Linked DNA regions of Oryctolagus cuniculus. The protein of the gene in region 4 binds, or shares a complex with, the protein of the main gene of each other region. Links are inferred from orthologs where the notes say so. Each region holds a gene or a part of one and is shown on either strand. Other genes may lie near its edges.

What was found.
Region 1: CACNG1 (region 4) and CACNB1 share a complex: the UniProt entries of both Homo sapiens proteins name them as parts of the calcium channel complex. The link is inferred for Oryctolagus cuniculus from reciprocal best matches to the Homo sapiens genes CACNG1 and CACNB1.
Region 2: CACNG1 (region 4) and CACNB2 share a complex: the UniProt entries of both Homo sapiens proteins name them as parts of the calcium channel complex. The link is inferred for Oryctolagus cuniculus from reciprocal best matches to the Homo sapiens genes CACNG1 and CACNB2.
Region 3: CACNG1 (region 4) and CACNA1C share a complex: the UniProt entries of both Homo sapiens proteins name them as parts of the calcium channel complex. The link is inferred for Oryctolagus cuniculus from reciprocal best matches to the Homo sapiens genes CACNG1 and CACNA1C.

Annotation. Positions count from the first base shown.
Region 1 is NC_091448.1:23,122,562-23,126,120, reverse strand, and holds part of CACNB1 (voltage-dependent L-type calcium channel subunit beta-1), read right to left. Parts: intron 3,377-3,559; coding exon 3,254-3,376; intron 2,887-3,253; coding exon 2,750-2,886; intron 2,556-2,749; coding exon 2,479-2,555; intron 2,102-2,478; coding exon 1,947-2,101; intron 1,215-1,946; coding exon of another isoform or gene 1,195-1,214; intron 944-1,194; coding exon 863-943; intron 439-862; coding exon 380-438; intron 271-379; coding exon 161-270; intron 19-160; coding exon 1-18. UniProt on the Homo sapiens protein: Regulatory subunit of L-type calcium channels. Regulates the activity of L-type calcium channels that contain CACNA1A as pore-forming subunit.
Region 2 is NC_091444.1:44,290,158-44,294,456, forward strand, and holds the start of CACNB2 (voltage-dependent L-type calcium channel subunit beta-2), read left to right. Parts: upstream 1-1,470; 5' UTR 1,471-1,735; coding exon 1,736-1,771; intron 1,772-4,299. UniProt on the Homo sapiens protein: Beta subunit of voltage-dependent calcium channels which contributes to the function of the calcium channel by increasing peak calcium current. Plays a role in shifting voltage dependencies of activation and inactivation of the channel.
Region 3 is NC_091440.1:99,765,082-99,769,092, reverse strand, and holds the start of CACNA1C (voltage-dependent L-type calcium channel subunit alpha-1C), read right to left. Parts: upstream 2,832-4,011; 5' UTR 2,641-2,831; coding exon 2,502-2,640; intron 1-2,501. UniProt on the Homo sapiens protein: Pore-forming, alpha-1C subunit of the voltage-gated calcium channel that gives rise to L-type calcium currents. Mediates influx of calcium ions into the cytoplasm, and thereby triggers calcium release from the sarcoplasm.
Region 4 is NC_091448.1:13,143,917-13,148,259, forward strand, and holds the start of CACNG1 (voltage-dependent calcium channel gamma-1 subunit), read left to right. Parts: upstream 1-1,511; 5' UTR 1,512-1,652; coding exon 1,653-1,881; intron 1,882-4,343. UniProt on the Homo sapiens protein: Regulatory subunit of the voltage-gated calcium channel that gives rise to L-type calcium currents in skeletal muscle. Regulates channel inactivation kinetics.

The DNA.
Region 1 (3,559 bases), about 10 Mb from region 4:
TCTCACTCTGCACCTCAGCTGGGCGGGGCGGTGGGGGGGACACGGGGAGGGGAGAATGTAAGGGCGCCTCCTCCCAGGAGGCAGGGAGCGGCGGGGGCGCTGCGGGAGCTGGTCCCGCCCACCCTGGCCACGCCTCCCGCGGCAGGCGGTGCGGGCTCACCCAGGCTGGAGCGTGTGTTGGAGCGCTCGATGATGATGTGCTTGCTGGGGTTGTTGAGGACTGAGCGCTTAGCCAGGGAGATGTCGGCTGTCACCCGCGTGATGGAGATCCTGGCGGCGGCGCGAGGGGCAGTCGGGCTCAGGGCGGCCAGCACGCCCCGCACACTCCCCAGGCTCCCTCAGTCCCAGGCTCCCCGGGCGCCAGCCCCCAGGGTCTCACCTGCCATCAAACCGATGCTTCAGGAAGTCAAACAAAGCTTTCTGCATCATGTCTGTCACCTGGGGGGGCGGGGCGTCAGGGGGAAGTCAGGCACTCAGAGCCACTCAGGAGCCAGCGCGGCGGAGGGGTGTCTGCACCCCACATTCCACTTCCCTCTGAAACCCCGCAGAGAAAGGGGCCTCTCCAGGGGCGGGGTGGGTTCCCTCCTGGGTCTGAGGGGCCACCAAGACACACTCTGGCTCCCGAGGCCTTCCAGGTGGCCTGTCTGGGAGGGCTCTTCTGGGTATCGCTTGGGGACTTGGGCTTCTCTGAGGGGGTCCTCCACGAGATAGGCCCCTTGAGGGTCTCCCTATAAGGTCTGCAGTCCCCCTGGGGGATGCTTGAGGTGGGGGGGGGGTCTCTCTGAGGTCTGAAGACCTTTCCAGGGAGGCTCTCTGGAGGTCTGGGCTCCAGCGGGCCCACCCCCGCTCCAGGGGCTCCTACCTCATAGCCCTTGAGCGACGGTCCCACCAGGATGATGGGCCTCATGGAAGGCACCACGTCATAGGGGGGCACGTGCTCTGTCTGGGGAAAGCAGGGTGGGGAGACCCCAGGGTGGAGACGGTGTTAGCCCCTCTCCCCCCAACTCCAGGCTCCCCCATGCATCCTTTCCTCCTTCTGGCCCCAAAGCCCAGATGTAGGGGTCAGGCGGGAGGGGGGGCCAGGGAGAACCAGGAAGAGTAGGGAAATGGCAGATGTGGGAACGGGTGTTAGAAGGTTCCCCCCCCGGCTCATCCTGGGGGCAAGGAGGGGACACAGAGAGCTGTGATACTCACCGACTTCTGCTTCTGTTTGGCTGGGTCCAGAGATTGCCAAGAGAGGGGAGGGGGAGGGGACCCAGGCAGGGGCAGAGGGCAAGAAGGAGCCGGGACAAGAGAGCGGGCAGACGAGGAGAGATAACAGGGCATGCGTGTTAGTGACAGACGGAGCCAGAGAGAGGGGACGGGACCCCATGCCACGCGGGAGCCAGAGATGGCGCTGGACCAGGGCTGGGAGCAGGACTGCCAGTCCGGCGGCCTTGGGAACATTCAGACACACCCTAACCCCTCTGGGTCTTGGACAAGACCTGGTGAGGGCGGCAGCCCCTAAATTGGTACCCACCTCCTGCCCCAAGGGTATGCCAACCTGCTTATTTAAGGGCTGCCTTAGTTGTCTTGCCCTGCAGCCAACAGACACCCTCCCCTATGTGCCCACTCATGGGGTCAGAACAGGACGAATAAAGAATGCCAGGGTAGGGCACACACAGGGAGGCTCCACTGGGAGTGAGGGCAAGGGCAGGTGTCACTACCACCAGACCCTGCTTTCCAGGGTGGGGCAGTTCGCCAAGGGCAGGAGCCATCCCTTCCTGGGGAGTAGCCCAGGGAGGGCTGTGTGTGCACGTGGACGTGCCCGTCTACCCCTCCCTCTGCCTCGGCGGGAGGCCCTGGACGAGGCTGTGCCACATCGGAACCCCTTCCACCCACCTCTGCCCCCCAGAGCTGGGCCCTGACCCCCTCCCGTCTTGCAAGAACTCAGCAGCGAGAATTACCTTCTTAAAGAAGGGGATGCGTGTGCCGTGGGGTGGCGGGGTGGTGACACTGCTAACGCTAGTCTTGGCAGAGCCGCTCTGCTCACCGAGCTCTGCCTCGTCCTCCTCTAAGTCTAAGGGCTCTAGTTCAAAGGCTAAGTTAGTCATCTCGTTACCTGGACCGGCGAGTCAGGAGAGAGGGGGGAGGGAGGCGAGGTGGGGAGGAGGGAGGTGGACGTGGAGACACAGAACGCAGGGATGGGGATGGGGAGAAGAAAGAAGAAGAGGTGAATGGAGTGGGGCTGGGGGAAATGGATGGGGGGTGGGGTGCAGGGAGGGCAGGCAGAGATGGAGCTACCAAAGACAGGGGGGAGCAGAGACACACAGGCCCAGCTTGTGGGGAGCCCACTCTTCACGGAGGGGGTGCCACTACACGTGTCTGGGGAACTAGGGTAGGGCTGACTCCTACTGCAGGGAGAGGGGGGTCAGGCGGTGGGAAGACCAACCCATCCAGGAACCCCTCCTCACCCCCTGGGGTCGCAGCAGCTCTTACCACTGGCAGGGGGTGTGGGGCGGCGCGTGCCAGTCACTACGTCACCCAGACTGGAGCTGGAGTTGTCGCCTGATTTGCTGTGTGGGCAGAGGCAAACGGAGCCCGTGAGCGAAGGGGTGGGCATGGGGGTTGGGGGGAGCTCGGCCTCCCACATACTGCTGGGGGGAGGGGCGCTCTGTGCCCTCAGGGGCGGGGGCAGCCCATCCCTTCGGGCCTAGCCCTGGCAGGCTGGGCCCTGCTGGGGCCAGGCGCGCCCACGCCCACCAGGCACCTGGAGCTGAGGCGGCTCTGACGCAGCTTCTGTTCCTGCAGCAGGCGCAGGCTGTCCAGTTTGACGGGGCTGGGGATGAAGCCAACCTCGCAGCCCTCCTTCACCAGCCGCCCAATCCACCAGTCATTGTTGTATTTCTGCAGGCAGCACAGTGGGCGGGCAGGAGAGAGCAAACAGAAACTGGAGGTGCAGGCAGCAGCCCCCCTCCCAGGGAAGCCACCCCAGACGTGCCCACCCCAGTTTCCAAGTGTGGCCGCCCATTCTCAGGATGATTCCGGGACCAGCATCCTCTCTGGCCATGGACTGCCTCTCCCTTAGCGCAGCCCCTAGGTGTTACCACCTCATTTACCAAGGAAAACTTAGAGGCTCAGAGAGGTGAGAGATTTATTTATCAAAAGTCACACAGCAGACTCTGCCCTGCTCTGCTTGGCTGAGAGGCCCTTCCCCCTGGAGCTCTAGCTGCCCCCTACCCATCCGCCCTCCTGATGCCAGTGACCTCCCCACCTCCTTGATGTGCAGGAAGTCCTTGGGCTCAAAGGTGATGGCCACTCCCTCCACAGGCACCTCATCCCCTGGAGATGGATTGTAGCCGACATTTGTCCGCACGGCAAATGCTACTGGCTTGGTCTGGAGGAGGCATGCGGGGAAGAATGGAACCAGGGGTTAAACCACGCGGGAATGGGATCACGCAGCGGTCTGCCTCGGCAAAGTGCACGCTGAGTGGGCTGTGCGTTTTTCCGTACAAAGGTGAATTTTTACAGCACAAAAGGAAGCAAAACTGGCATTCTGTCCTCTCGGTGTGGGGGAGGG
Region 2 (4,299 bases), on a different chromosome or scaffold from region 4:
TCACGCTAACTTAATGCCTTACAGTAAAACACGGCATCAAAGGCAGCTGACGCCCATTGTAGCAATTCTGCATGTATAAGTCAGTATACAAAATGGTTAACATCTTTGTGGTTACAAAGTAACACGGCCGCCTGGCAAACTTGTTCTAGCGACTTCCACAGGAGTCAAATTTGTGGAAATGTGATGCACCCAAGAATATAAAAATGTGCTTTATGAGGACGAGGCGAGAGCATTATTCTAAGTCCAACAGTTTTGCTGTGGTCACTACGCGTTCTTCAAGAGTTCGGGACCTGAAGGGAGTGATGTCTTCGTCCACCACGTGATACCAAGATTTAGGATTTCCAATCCTATAGGAAAAGTCAAATTCGCGAGCGACCGAGCGCTAACTGACACAGATGAACACAATCAATCATTAAGGGTGTGGTCGCTCCAGCCCTGGTTAAAAAGTTCAACTGGGGGTTCTGGTGGGATCCCAGCTCATCCGTCCTCGCCGTCCGTCTGGCTCCTCGCTCCTGACATCGCCCAGCGCCCTCAGCCGCCCCCTGTACTGCAAAGACCCTAGCTCGCTGGGCCGCCCCAGGCCCCGACGGGTGGGACACCTCACAGGTCAGAGCCCAGCCCTCTCCGCTGAAGTTGGGGACCTGTTCGCGCCCGCCCCGCGTCTCTTGGAGCTCCGGGGCAGCCGGGGTGGAGCGACCGGAACCGAACGGGGCAGCCCGAGAGACGCACCTCCCGGGCGCCGGGCCTGGCTTTCGTGGCTTTGAGAACTTTCCAGCGTGCGTGCCACGGCGACGCGCAGCGGCCCGGCCGGGGCCCACGCGGCCCGCGCCTCCCGCGAGGAACTTTTCGGCGCGGCGGCTGGTTGTCACTCCCGCTCGCCGACGCGCCTCCCCCTGGCTCGCGCTCCGCCAGCTGCCTCCGCCCTCCCGGCGAGGACCTTCCCCGGCGCCCGCGGCTCGGGGCTGCCCGCTCTGCGCTCGCTCCGCCGGCCCCGGCGCGCCGCCCAGGGAGCCCCTCTCCTCCGGCCACCCAGCCGCGCGCCCGCGCCTCCCGCCTCGCGCCATGGCCCGGCCCCGTCCCGCGCACTGAGAGCGGGGCGGCGCGGCGCCGAGCCCCCGGGGCGCTAAGGGACGCTGCGCCGAGCGGCCGGGCCCGAGCCCCGGGCGGCCCCCGGAGCGCAGCGGAGTAGGGGCGGGGGCGAGGAGGAGGTGGGGACCGGCCGCCCAGGGGCCGGCTGCGTGCTTCCAGCCGACTTTTCGCCAATGGTCCAAAGCGACATGTCCAAGTCGCCTCCCACAGCGGCGGCGGCGGTGGCGCAGGAGGTGCAGATGGAACTGCTGGAGAACGCGGCTCCCGCGGGGGCGCTCGGAGCCGCCGCACAGGTAGCGAGAGCGCGGCGCCCTCTCCTTTCTTTGTGAGCCGCCGGGGCGCGGGCCGCCGTCTCCCCGGCGCCTCCTCTCCCTCGCTCGCCGGCCTCGCAGCTCGCTCGTGCCTGCGTCTCCTCCTCCGCCGCCTCCTCCTCCTCTTCTGCTCGCCGTTCGCCACCCACTTCTCTCCCGGCGCCGGGGACCCTGCCCCTTGGCGCTTCCCCCTGACTCTTCTCCGGCTTCCATTTTTCTCTGCTTCCGAAAAGCAAGTGGGAAGGGGCGGGGGCGACCTGCCGGGCTCGCAGCTTCTCCCGGGCGGCTCTGCTCAGCTCTCGTCGCTCCTGCCCGGGAGAGGCACATGGAGAGACATGAACCAGGCGAGTGGACTGGACCTGCTCAAGATCGTGAGTCCGGGCGGGCGGGCGGGTGGGGGCTCCGCTTCCCGCAGCTCTTCCTCCGACGCCGACCCTTCCGGCCCGGCTTGGAGCCGGGCTGGGGTGGGGGTGGGGTGGTGATGGCTAGGGGTGGGGGAGGGGGACGCCCTGCTGCGCCCCGCGTCCTGGGGGCAGCCGGGACCACCCTCCGCACCTGGGGCGTTGCGCCTTTCTGACCGCTCTCTGATGCCCTCGAGGCACTTGCCAAGGTTCGCCTGCATCCCTCGCTCCTTTCCCTTCCCGAGAGAGCGAGCTGACACGAGAAAGTTTTTATTTTTCCGTTTGCCCTGAAAGACTAGCCCTTTCAGAGCGCTCCGGGATCCTCTTTCTCGCCGGCGAGTGTTCGCGGTTTCTGGAAAAATTCACCTTTGCTGCCTGTTGTGAAATAGGAGATGTTAGTTGTAGGCCTCGGGCAGATGATAAGGTGGCGTTGACGTAAGGCGTTGGCAGGTGCGGCGCGGATTAGACACCTCCGGGTCTCCGCGGTAAGGAGTTGCTCAACTTGTATCCTGGCGGGGAAATGACTTCAGCCTCCTCGCTGCGGGCTAGGAAGGAGGGGAGGGTTCCGCTCCTAGCATCACTGGAGAGAACTCTGTCTTCTTTGCTTCGTGGTGTGGGCTTGATTTGGAGCCTACATCTGCCAGATGACAGGCCGTGGTAAGATGTGAAGTGTGTGTGTGTTTTATTCGAGTGTGTGTGTGTGTGTATGCATGCCAGAGAGAGCATGCTACAGTTTTCACTTGGTAGTGCTGAGCAGGGCAGGGACAGTCCCCCGAGGGTGGCAGGGTTTCTCCTGCTTCGTGCAGAGGGGCTGGTTGTAGGGGTTTGAGTACTATGCTAGTGGTACTTCCAGGGGCGTTCTAGTGGAGTTTGGCTGAACTTTATTTTACCGCTGGGAAATAAACGCGCTAACTTAAAACACAGCGTTGACTTTGTTTTTTGAGCTGGGGGAAGAACGTAGAAACCAAGAACTCTTTCTCTGGCCGTGGTGAAACCGGCCCTCGGTTGTTTGCCCTCCAGTGGATCGGAGACAGGGCACTCACCAGTGACTGGTTTTATACATAGAGCAGAGAGAGGAGAATGGCGTGGATTTTATAAAGTGGATGAGGCAGAAATAGTCAGCTGAATCAACATCTATCTCCTTGCTTTCTCTGCTTTCCAAAAATGAAAGCAGTTTTCCCTGAATTGTTCAGATAAAATGCCTCCCTCCCAGTCATGGATGTCAACTCCCAGCGTTTCAGGGTTGTGTGAAACTTGGCAGGTAGCCTCTGCCGGAGGATGGACTCCTGACCAACACAATTCACTCTTGTTCCAACTCCAATTTCATCCAGACACATGTCAGGTTCCATGAGATTGAAAAATGTATTAGAGACCTTGGTGGTTCCAGGATCAAAGTCTAGAGTATTCATAGACGAAAGGACTTTTAAAGCCTCGTTTTCTCTTTGATCTTACTTGAAGAATTTTTTTTTTTTGAAAAGTATGTATTCCTATGATAAAGAGTTCTTGAATTCTCTGATCAGTTAGGGCTGATGCAAAGGGTAAGAAATACTAATTTACTTAGTGATTTACATAATTAACATAAGTCAACAAATACTGTGCCCATGTGATGGTGCAATGTGGAAATGACTTTGATGTGAGAAGGCAGTTTATTCCTTTGAAGAACTTAGATTCCAAAGCTGCAAGTATGAAGCCGGTAAAGCAATTCTAAGGTATTGGATGGGACTAGGAGGGAAGGGCTGAATATCATGATTGCAAAGGAGTCAAGGTCACAAAAAACACTCTTTAGAGCAATCTGCCAGGGCTTCTTAGAGGTGGCACTTGAAGAGATTGAATGGTGGGTCAGATTTCAACAGTTTGGAGAGAGATGCTAGGAAGCCATACATGGAACAGACACAGAAGTTGGAATTGTGCAGTTAGAATCCCTGGCTCAGAAGAGTGGGAGAAAAGGTACATGCTGGGTTGTAGTTGGACATCAGGAGGGCAAAGCACTTGGACGTTGAAGTGTACTGAACAACTGGGAACTGAAGGTGTTCCAAACAGGAGCCACCACTAGCACAGGGACAACACCCACCTGGGAATGTTCAAGACAGATGGGAGTCTGTGGAGGTCAGAAGTGGAGCTGTCAGCAAGGACAGGAGTACAACAGTTTGGCAAGAACAGGTCCGTGCCCCAGGCATCTTAAATCAGCCCGTAGGATGGAGTGACTGGTTTTACACATACAGCAGAGAGAGAGAGAGAGGAGAATGGCATGGGATTCGTGAAGCAGGTAAGGGAGAAATGTTCAACTGTATGGACATCTATCTCGTTGCTTTCTCTGCTTTCTAAAAATGAAAGCAGTTTTCCTTGAGTTGTGTTCAGATGACATCCGTGATTGGAGGAAGCATTCTAACTTCTAGTGTCTCAGGGTTGTGTGGAACTTGGCAAGACCATCTACTGTCTCTGAGTAGACCAGGGCAGCCATAATATCTCCTGAGAAGGGGGGCTGCCTTGGGACTCCC
Region 3 (4,011 bases), on a different chromosome or scaffold from region 4:
CCAAGATTATGACCAAAATGAAAGTATAAATTTCAATAGCAAAAAAAACCCAGAGTGTGTTGTTCTTATTTATATTTATTATTATCTATGGATTTTTATGCTTCCTAATTTTTTTTAAAGTTTATTTACTGTGTTCTATCTCCTTCTCTAGAACAAAGGTGCTTTTCTCTGAAACAAATAAAATCAGGAAGTTAGTGTACAATGAAGAAGATTCCACCTGACCTTTGGTGAAGTGGGGATTCCCAGTTGAAGAGGACAGTGGTTGCTGTGGGGATTAGGGAGGTCTGTTGACATAGCATGCATGTGTCATGAATGAGTACTTGCTAAAGTTTAAGTCCATCTTTTACTTTGAAGCTAATGAAGTCTCATTAACAGATGGACAGTATGTGTTAATTTAATACAAATTGGTATACTGCCATAGTTAAGAGGTTTCTCTTTGCGTTAACTTTTTAAGGATCAATTCTAGAAAAATTAGGGTAGTTTTTACTGTTTAGATTTTCTACTGTTTTCCCCCAAACGTTTGTAAGTGTTAGTCACCCATCAAATAGAAACTGCTCCTCATCTACTGAGAACCTTGCAGTGTTCCCAGACCATGGGATCACTGATTTGTGAGGTGCAGTAAAACTATGTCATATGAAAAGAACCAGACCAGGGGCCAAAGATAACACTGCTATGTAGACTCTGTGGCCAGTGGCGATTTCGTTTTACAAGACGTGTCCGTGTTTGGTCAGCAAAGCTAAGGCAGTGGATTGAATGAAAGAACATGACTTTAAAAGCATTGAGAAGCACGCCAAAGGCAAGCATTTTTCGTGCAAACATTCCAAATGGGGCAAAGCACACAGTCAGCGGAGAGCTGGCCAGAAGTTGCTGCTCCCCCATCTACGGGCGCCGCACAGTAGCTGCTCCAGCATGTGCGCTGCAGAGGACTGCCCGTGCTAGCCTTTGTCCCACCTCCTCGTCCTCTCTCTTGCTTCCATCCTTCCTGCTTTCTGAGCCCCCGTGTGAAAAAAAGACTAATTGCAATCTTTTTCAGCGTGTCTAGAAATCAGTCAAATCTGTAAAGTTTTTGAAAGCTTCATGGATTTCATTTGTAAGTCTGAGGGAGGGGTCTGTTTCAGAGAAGAGAGTGAACCAGCAGAAATGAGTTCCGCTCCCCAAGTCAGCCTTGTTGAGTAGACTCCTCATTGATCAAAGCTTACGAAGCTGTGCACTCATGGGCCCCTCTTTCTAATTTGCAGGTGTTAGGTAGTCTTTCTGAGTACAGTAGCTGTGTGTACATCAATGTGGTCACCATTCCAAAAGCCTGAACTAGACAAAAAGTACAGGAAATCAAATATTACTCCTGAGTTTGGCCCCCTTACAAGTATTCACGCTAAATGTATGACTAGTCGCTCCATCCTTACGTTGAGATCGTCACTCTACTGCTGTGAGATAAACATTAGGAAAGGAATTGGTAAAATTTGGATTATCCTGAAATGCCCAGAAGAGATGTGTGTAGTTTAACACTGCCATGTTTCCCGTGGTTTTCCTAGGAAAGAGAACTTATCCACTTTCCCTGATGGATGCTAAGAAAAACACATTTCTGCCCTGCTGAGGAATTAATTACATATTTTAAAAAATAGAGCATCACCAAATCAGATATCTGGCCCATTTAAATTTTACTCATATAATTATGATTTTGATACACTTATAAACTATGGATATATGCCATCTTTTCAAATTTGCATAAATATTAGCATAGACAGATGCTTGTTAAATGGCTACAAGCTATCATTCAAGAATTAGAGTTGAAAAGTAACTGGGATAAAATACAGAACAAATGATAAATGACTTGAACAAATTGAATAGATTTATTAGAAACATAAATAAAAAATAAATTTATTAGAAACATAAGACATGATTAATCCCCCCAAAACATCCAAACTTAATTAAAGTGCTATGCTAAGAAACAATTTCAAATCAAAATTTTAATGACACCTGATACTGTCTCTAATGACCCTTTACCCACCTCTTAAAATTGACCAGCTTTCTATTTTTTCCACTGAAGAACTTAAAAAATTAGAAAAGATCATTATCGAATATAATTATCTTGCTATCTTGTCTGTGTGTACCAACAAAATTCAGATACAAAATCTAATATAAAAATTTGGATTTCTTTCATCTTTCTCACAGAATGAGAAGGAAAGTAGAAGATTGGTGTTTTGCCATATAAAAGCCATATAATCCTTGCTTGTTGCTTCAAAAATGGTTTAAATGTTTTTAAATTTATTTTTTATTTGAGAGTTGTTTTTTTTTTTTTTTCGAGAATTTCCAAACAATGACATAAATGAGGACATTGGGCTTCTAGGCAAAACTTCACAAATGTGTTGCTGAAAGTCCTGCTTACGTACAAGGAGATGAGTCCTTGGAGTGGGGGAATCACCTTCTTGGTATTTCTAGAATACTTTGAGTAAATTTCACCCTCCTCTTCCCTGTTCCTTACTCCACGGTGGGGATCTTACCTCCAGGAGAGATGTAGAAATGGTTGAGTTGAGCTTCATGCACCACAGTACCTTTACATGTACTCTCCGTTTCAGCAGACAGGTGGCTAGGCAGCGGCTGGTATGCGGGCGTAGCTGGCTGAACAAGGGCTCGAAGCATTGTCAGTTTCCAGTTGTATACAAAACAGGGTGATTTTTAAAGCTAAACAAGTACCCTGCAGGTGATCTTTTCTCCTTGTAACTTTTTAAGACTAAGAAACTATTCCTGTAATGTCATTTCAGTGCCACAAAAGTTTACATGGCCATATGGCATTGCTGCAAATTGAGGTTTTAGTAATACTTTACGTTTTAGAATTCTAAAACCACACTTTCCTTATTGGCTCTTCTCTGCCTTGTCTTTCTCTTCCCTGCTAAGCCTGTGCAGGGATAGGCCTCTCCCCTGGTGACTCTACAGGAAAACTTGGATTGAAAGGAGAAGGTAGTGGTTCCTGTCAGCCTGTCAGCTCATCACCTCCCTACGGCATGCTGAGCTCTGGGTTTTATATATCACCACGAGCTGCTCTGATATGCCCTCTTGTGTGCAAGGGCGATAGGCTTGACCGGGGGCTGGTAGCCCCTGGGCCCAAGGGGCCGAAAACTGCAGCTGGAAGGTGCACTTTGATGGAATTCACTGCCCCTTTCCCAGCGGAATGCAGCTCAAGTTGCAAAACTATTTTAGGGAGGGAAAAAATGAGGCTCAGTTTTGCATTGTATCTTGTTGCCCCCTTTCAGGAGCCAGGACTGCTGGTAAATGTGCTTCATTCCTTGACAATTTAAACTTTTTCAAAGGGACCGTCAACTGGGATAAGAGCAGTTATTTCAAAATGGTCCCATTTTAATTCTAAAACCATGCTATCTGTGAGATAAATGGTTGGGTCCTAAAGCACTCTCCACAGTGTCTTAAATACTTGCTCAAATGCAGCCTCTCGGCCCTGCTTGGCCGTTCGAGGGCTGGAAATTGTGGGTGCTTCCTCCCTGACTGCCATGGAGTCACCTCACGGCAGCGACATGGAGAGACTGCTCTCCCATTTGTGCCAGCAATTTCCTTGTCATCCTCGCCTTAGGAGAACCTTAGGGTAAATGCCACAAATGTGTCACCTCAAAAAAATGCCACCCAAACTGTTTCTACTAACACACTCTGCTGATGAGACACCACTGGCTGGGCTCCTCCCTGCCTTGGGGCCTCCAGTTTCTTAGCTGTGCTGTGGGTTTTTTCCTCCTTGCTACCACCTTTCTCTTCTGATGCTTTTGGAAAACTCGGTCTCCAAGGAAGAAAGTTTGCACTGTAACCAAAAAAAATATTTCAAAAATAAAAAGACACCACACAAACACCGAAAAGCAGAGCAGGCTCCTGGTATTGTAGCTGAGGTTAAAGCCGCCAGCACACAGGTTCACACGGATGCAGAATTCTGAAGTGGTCCAATGTGCACGTCCTACAAGAGCATCCGTGTTAGCGTGTAGGACTCTGCTAGGGAATCGGAGCTGGAAGTGG
Region 4 (4,343 bases):
AGCTACTGGCGTGGGGCCAGGCTGAAACCAGGAGTAAGGTCTCCCACATGGGTGGCGGGGACCCAACTACTTGAGCCAGCTCCTGTCGCCTCCCAGGGTGCACTTCACCAGGAATCTGGAGCCAGGAGTGGGGCTGACACTCCAAACCACACGCTCCAGTGTGTCCTAACCACGAGGCCAAACACCTGCCGTTTCGCAGGTCCCTGGGAAAGTAAAGTATTCAAGCCCCAGCTGCCCTCCGCCTTCAGTCCGTCTGTCCATCCATCAAACCTCTCAATAAGCATCTGTGAAGGTTCTGGGAGGACCTAGAGTGAGTGCCTCACAGCCTCAGTGACCTCAGCCTCCGAAGCTCAGAGCAAACCCATCCACCAGTGGTCTGTGAAGAACATGCTGACGCAGCCATCCTGGATCCACCGCCCGCCATGCCGCCAGCCCAGGGCACCACAGCCAAGTGCTGTTCTGGAAGCCGGGAGCCAGCACAGTCAGGTTCTGGTGAGGGCTCTCTTCCTGGCTTGCAGATGGCAGAGAGGAAGCAAGTGAGCTCTCTGGGCTCTCATCAGGGCCCCAAGCCACCACTCTTACCAGACCACCCCCCAAAGGCCCGCCTCCAAACGCCATCCCACTGGGAGCTGGCACATCACACCACCCCACTGTCTGGGCCGCACTGTCTGCTGGAAGAGCTGAAACCAGGACAGAATCCGGTGCCCCAACCGGGACTAGAACCGGGGGTGCCGGCGCCGCAGGCGGAAGATTAGCCTAGTGAGCCGTGGCGCCGGCCTGCATTTAACTTTGTAAGTGAAAATACAGCCAGGAATCTTTATGACCTGCCTGGAAGAGGAGGCGGCGCTCAGAGCAGTTCCATAGAAACAGTGGTGCCGCTGAGTCCAGCTGTATTCTCCGGGCCTCTCTCTGTCTCTAAGGGCGGTTGTTCCAGCACACGTTCCCTAGCCCTGAACAGGGACAGGAACAGGAAGAGAAGTGAGGAGGTAGAGGTGTTCTCATAGTGAGGTCACAGTTGGCTGAGGAACATGCATGCAGATTCCCAGGCCTGGGCGGTGGGGCTGGGCTCCTGTGCGGGCTCAGGCACTGCGTGGGAGGGGGCTCCAGAGGCCCTGGGCAGAGGGCCCTGGGCTGTCCCTAGGCAAGACCCTGGGTCCCCTGACTCCCCGGGATGAGGACCCCATCTTGGCAGCTGGCTTGCCCAGTGTGAGACCAGGAAGCAGCAGGGCCTCCCCGGGGGCCCTGTGCTGGCTTAGCAGGACCTCTGCAGCCAGAGCAGGTGCATCACCCGACACGAGGTGGCCCATCCCTCGCCCCCGTCCACTCCAAGTCACTCTGTAAAGCCTCCTCCTGCCCCACCCTGGCTCCAAGAGGGGAAGAAAGCGCTGAAACCCGAGCAGACGCCGTCCTGGGCCCTGCTGGAGGCATTAATAGAAGCCTCGCTCAGGCCCCTGACGTGTCTGGCAGCTGCTCAGCCCCAGCCCGCGTCTCCCAGCCCCAAGGCCGGCCCACTCTGGCTCAGCCGGGCACACTAAACTTAGCTTCCACCCCCAGCTCCGGAGCCACGGCCACCACCCTAGCCGGGCCGCCACCTGCACGGGCAGGCGCCGCCGCCAGACCCTACCTGCAGCACCCACCCCTCTGCAGCCGCCATGTCCCCGACGGAAGCCCCAAAGGTCCGCGTGACCCTCTTCTGCATCCTGGTGGGCATCGTGCTGGCCATGACGGCCGTGGTGAGCGACCACTGGGCCGTGCTGAGCCCCCACATGGAGAACCACAACACCACCTGCGAGGCCGCCCACTTCGGCCTGTGGCGGATTTGCACCAAGCGCATCGCCCTGGGCGAGGACAGGAGCTGCGGACCCATCACCCTGCCTGGGGGTAACGTATCCATGCCCTGTCCCCTCTCTGCCTCCTGCCTGTCGCAGGTGCCCCGGAAGAGGTGCCCGTGGGAAAAAAGGCAGGTTTCTCTGCCTCGGGTCCAAGCAGCACCCCAGCCCTCCCTGCCCAGGGCAGACAGAGCTGCGCATGGCACGGCCATGTACGGAGGGCTTACGTTTCCAGCTATTAGAACATGGGGCCATGCGCCCAGAGCAGACAGCTGCACAGATGGGACAAGAGGCCCAGGACGAAGACGCAGGTCCACCAGACCAGGGCCTCTGGCTCAGCAGGGGTCACAGCCCATGTCCCCAGGCTGGGTGGCCGTGTGCCCCCAGCCCGGCAGGTTCATTGCTCAGTGCCCAGGCAAGGGTGCAAACAGGGCCAGCTCCAGGGTCTGCAGTGCCTCCTGCAGAATGAAAAGGCAGGGCTCCTAGTTTCCGGCGACAAAGCGTTTCAGGTAGGCGGCCGCAGGGTGTGGGGCGCTTCTGGGGTGGGTGTGACTGTGCAGGCTGCACCCCTGGAAAGTGGGATGTGGCAGCATGCAAGCCGGCTGCCTGCTCGTGGGAGCCCACAGACCTCCCGGAGGGGCCCCCTGAACTCAGCTCTCTCAGATTCCAAAGTGTCCCCTGTCCCACAGTGTCACCCAGCCACACGCTGCAGGTGAGCCCTCGGTCCAGGACGTGGGGCGTGAGCAAGACAGATCCCTGGGAAGAGTGTCGGTTCTGCACGTGTGGGGCCCACGGAGTTCCAGTGAGCAGAGCGTGTGCCAGGGCAGCGGGTGCTGTGCGGGGAGCGGAGGCCTGGGCCCCAGTCACGCGCTAGCCGCCTGCTCCCTAGAGGAGGCTTCTGGGCAGACAAAGCCCAGCTCAGCTCCTCCTGCTGCCTCTTCTATAAAACAGGAGACTTGGTCTCAGCCACACACGATCCCTCCCAGAGCTCACCAAGGTCCCTCCAAGGCGGCAGCCGGCCAGGCTGTGAGTGACACCGTCCCACCTGACATGCGTGTTCAGAAAGGGCGTCCTTTAAGGCGGGTGGCGCTGAGCCCCCAGAGGTCTTGCAGTCTGCCCAGCCCCTAGCCCCATGCCGCCCTTTCCTCCCCCTGCCACTTGCTCCAGGGATCCCCTGCCCCGCGTGCCCCCGGGGGGCGTGCAGAGGACTCGTAAATCCTCAGCTGTCTTGGAAACGCTGAGTCCAGGGCTGGGAGCTTTGACAGGCGTGGGCATGTGCTCATGGGCTATCGCATAGCGCAGATGCTCATGCCCTCGGCCACCGCTGAGCACGCCCGTAAACACACGCCTCCTCCAGCCAACTCCCTTGGGCAGGGCAGGGCGGGGCAGGGCGAGGCGGCTCCTCCAGGGACACTGTCATGGTCCTAGCTGCTGTCCTTGGAGCCATCTGCCTTTTAAAGTCAGAGCCGATGAGCAGGGCAGCGGGCAGAGTCCACACAAGGAAGAGACAGACTGGCCAGAGGTGACCAGGCCAGCCCCAGGGGACCGACACTTGGCCTTGAGCCTGAGCAGCGTCCATCTCTTTGGCCTCTCCACGCCGCCCCCGCCCCAGGCGTGAATCATGCACTTGCGGCACTCAGCACTGCCTTCCCTCCAATAATCCTCCCAAGCATGTCCCCCCGGCCTTTTTCCTCTTTTGCAAACAGATGTCTGCTTCCTTCCCAATGTACCTTTACCTTCCTTAATCTCCTCGGGACCACCGTTTTCTGGAGCGAGTTCATACATCTCTCATTTATTTGTTATTAACCAAAGCAACAACAAAGGCACGCAAACGTAGCACTGTGTGCATGTATTGTTGTGAATGCTTTTCCTAAATTCACTTGAAATGACGTCAGAAAAATAGGACAGAGTAAGGCATGCCTGCCCCCAAATCTTCCCCATAAAAGCCATGAGGATTCTGGCAAAAATTGACAGGACACTGGACATTAACCAAATCTCACAGAATTCCAGAAAAACAAGGGAAGCTCAGGAGGAACAGAGACTTGCCCATTCCCACGCACCCTCCCCAGGTCTGCCGTGGCTTCAACATCTCACAGTCATCACCAACATAGCAGCCCAACAGCCACTGAGGGGGACAAATGGCCAGCTTTCTTTTACGGCTCTGTTTTCAGAGCGGTCATTGTGCGACCTGTCCTGTGGCTCCCTGCAAGTCCCCACTTACAAATCGCCTCTATCTGACCTGGCTCTGAGCTCTCCAGTGCCACCAATCTTTCTCCCAGGGAGCATTTGTTGAAAACAACTGGAGCCAACTGTGTAACATCATGGCTTCTTGAGACAGCACAAAACAGTTGGTGCTAATAATGGGATAGCCCAAACGCTGGAGGATATGATGTCCGTTGGCAGCTTTGGAAAGTTCCAACATATTCCTGGGCACCTCGAAGGCCTTGTGCATGCACGGTGCTGCCAACAGGCTCAGGAGAGACCTGAGGTCCTAAGCTCTCACCCCTGCCTTAT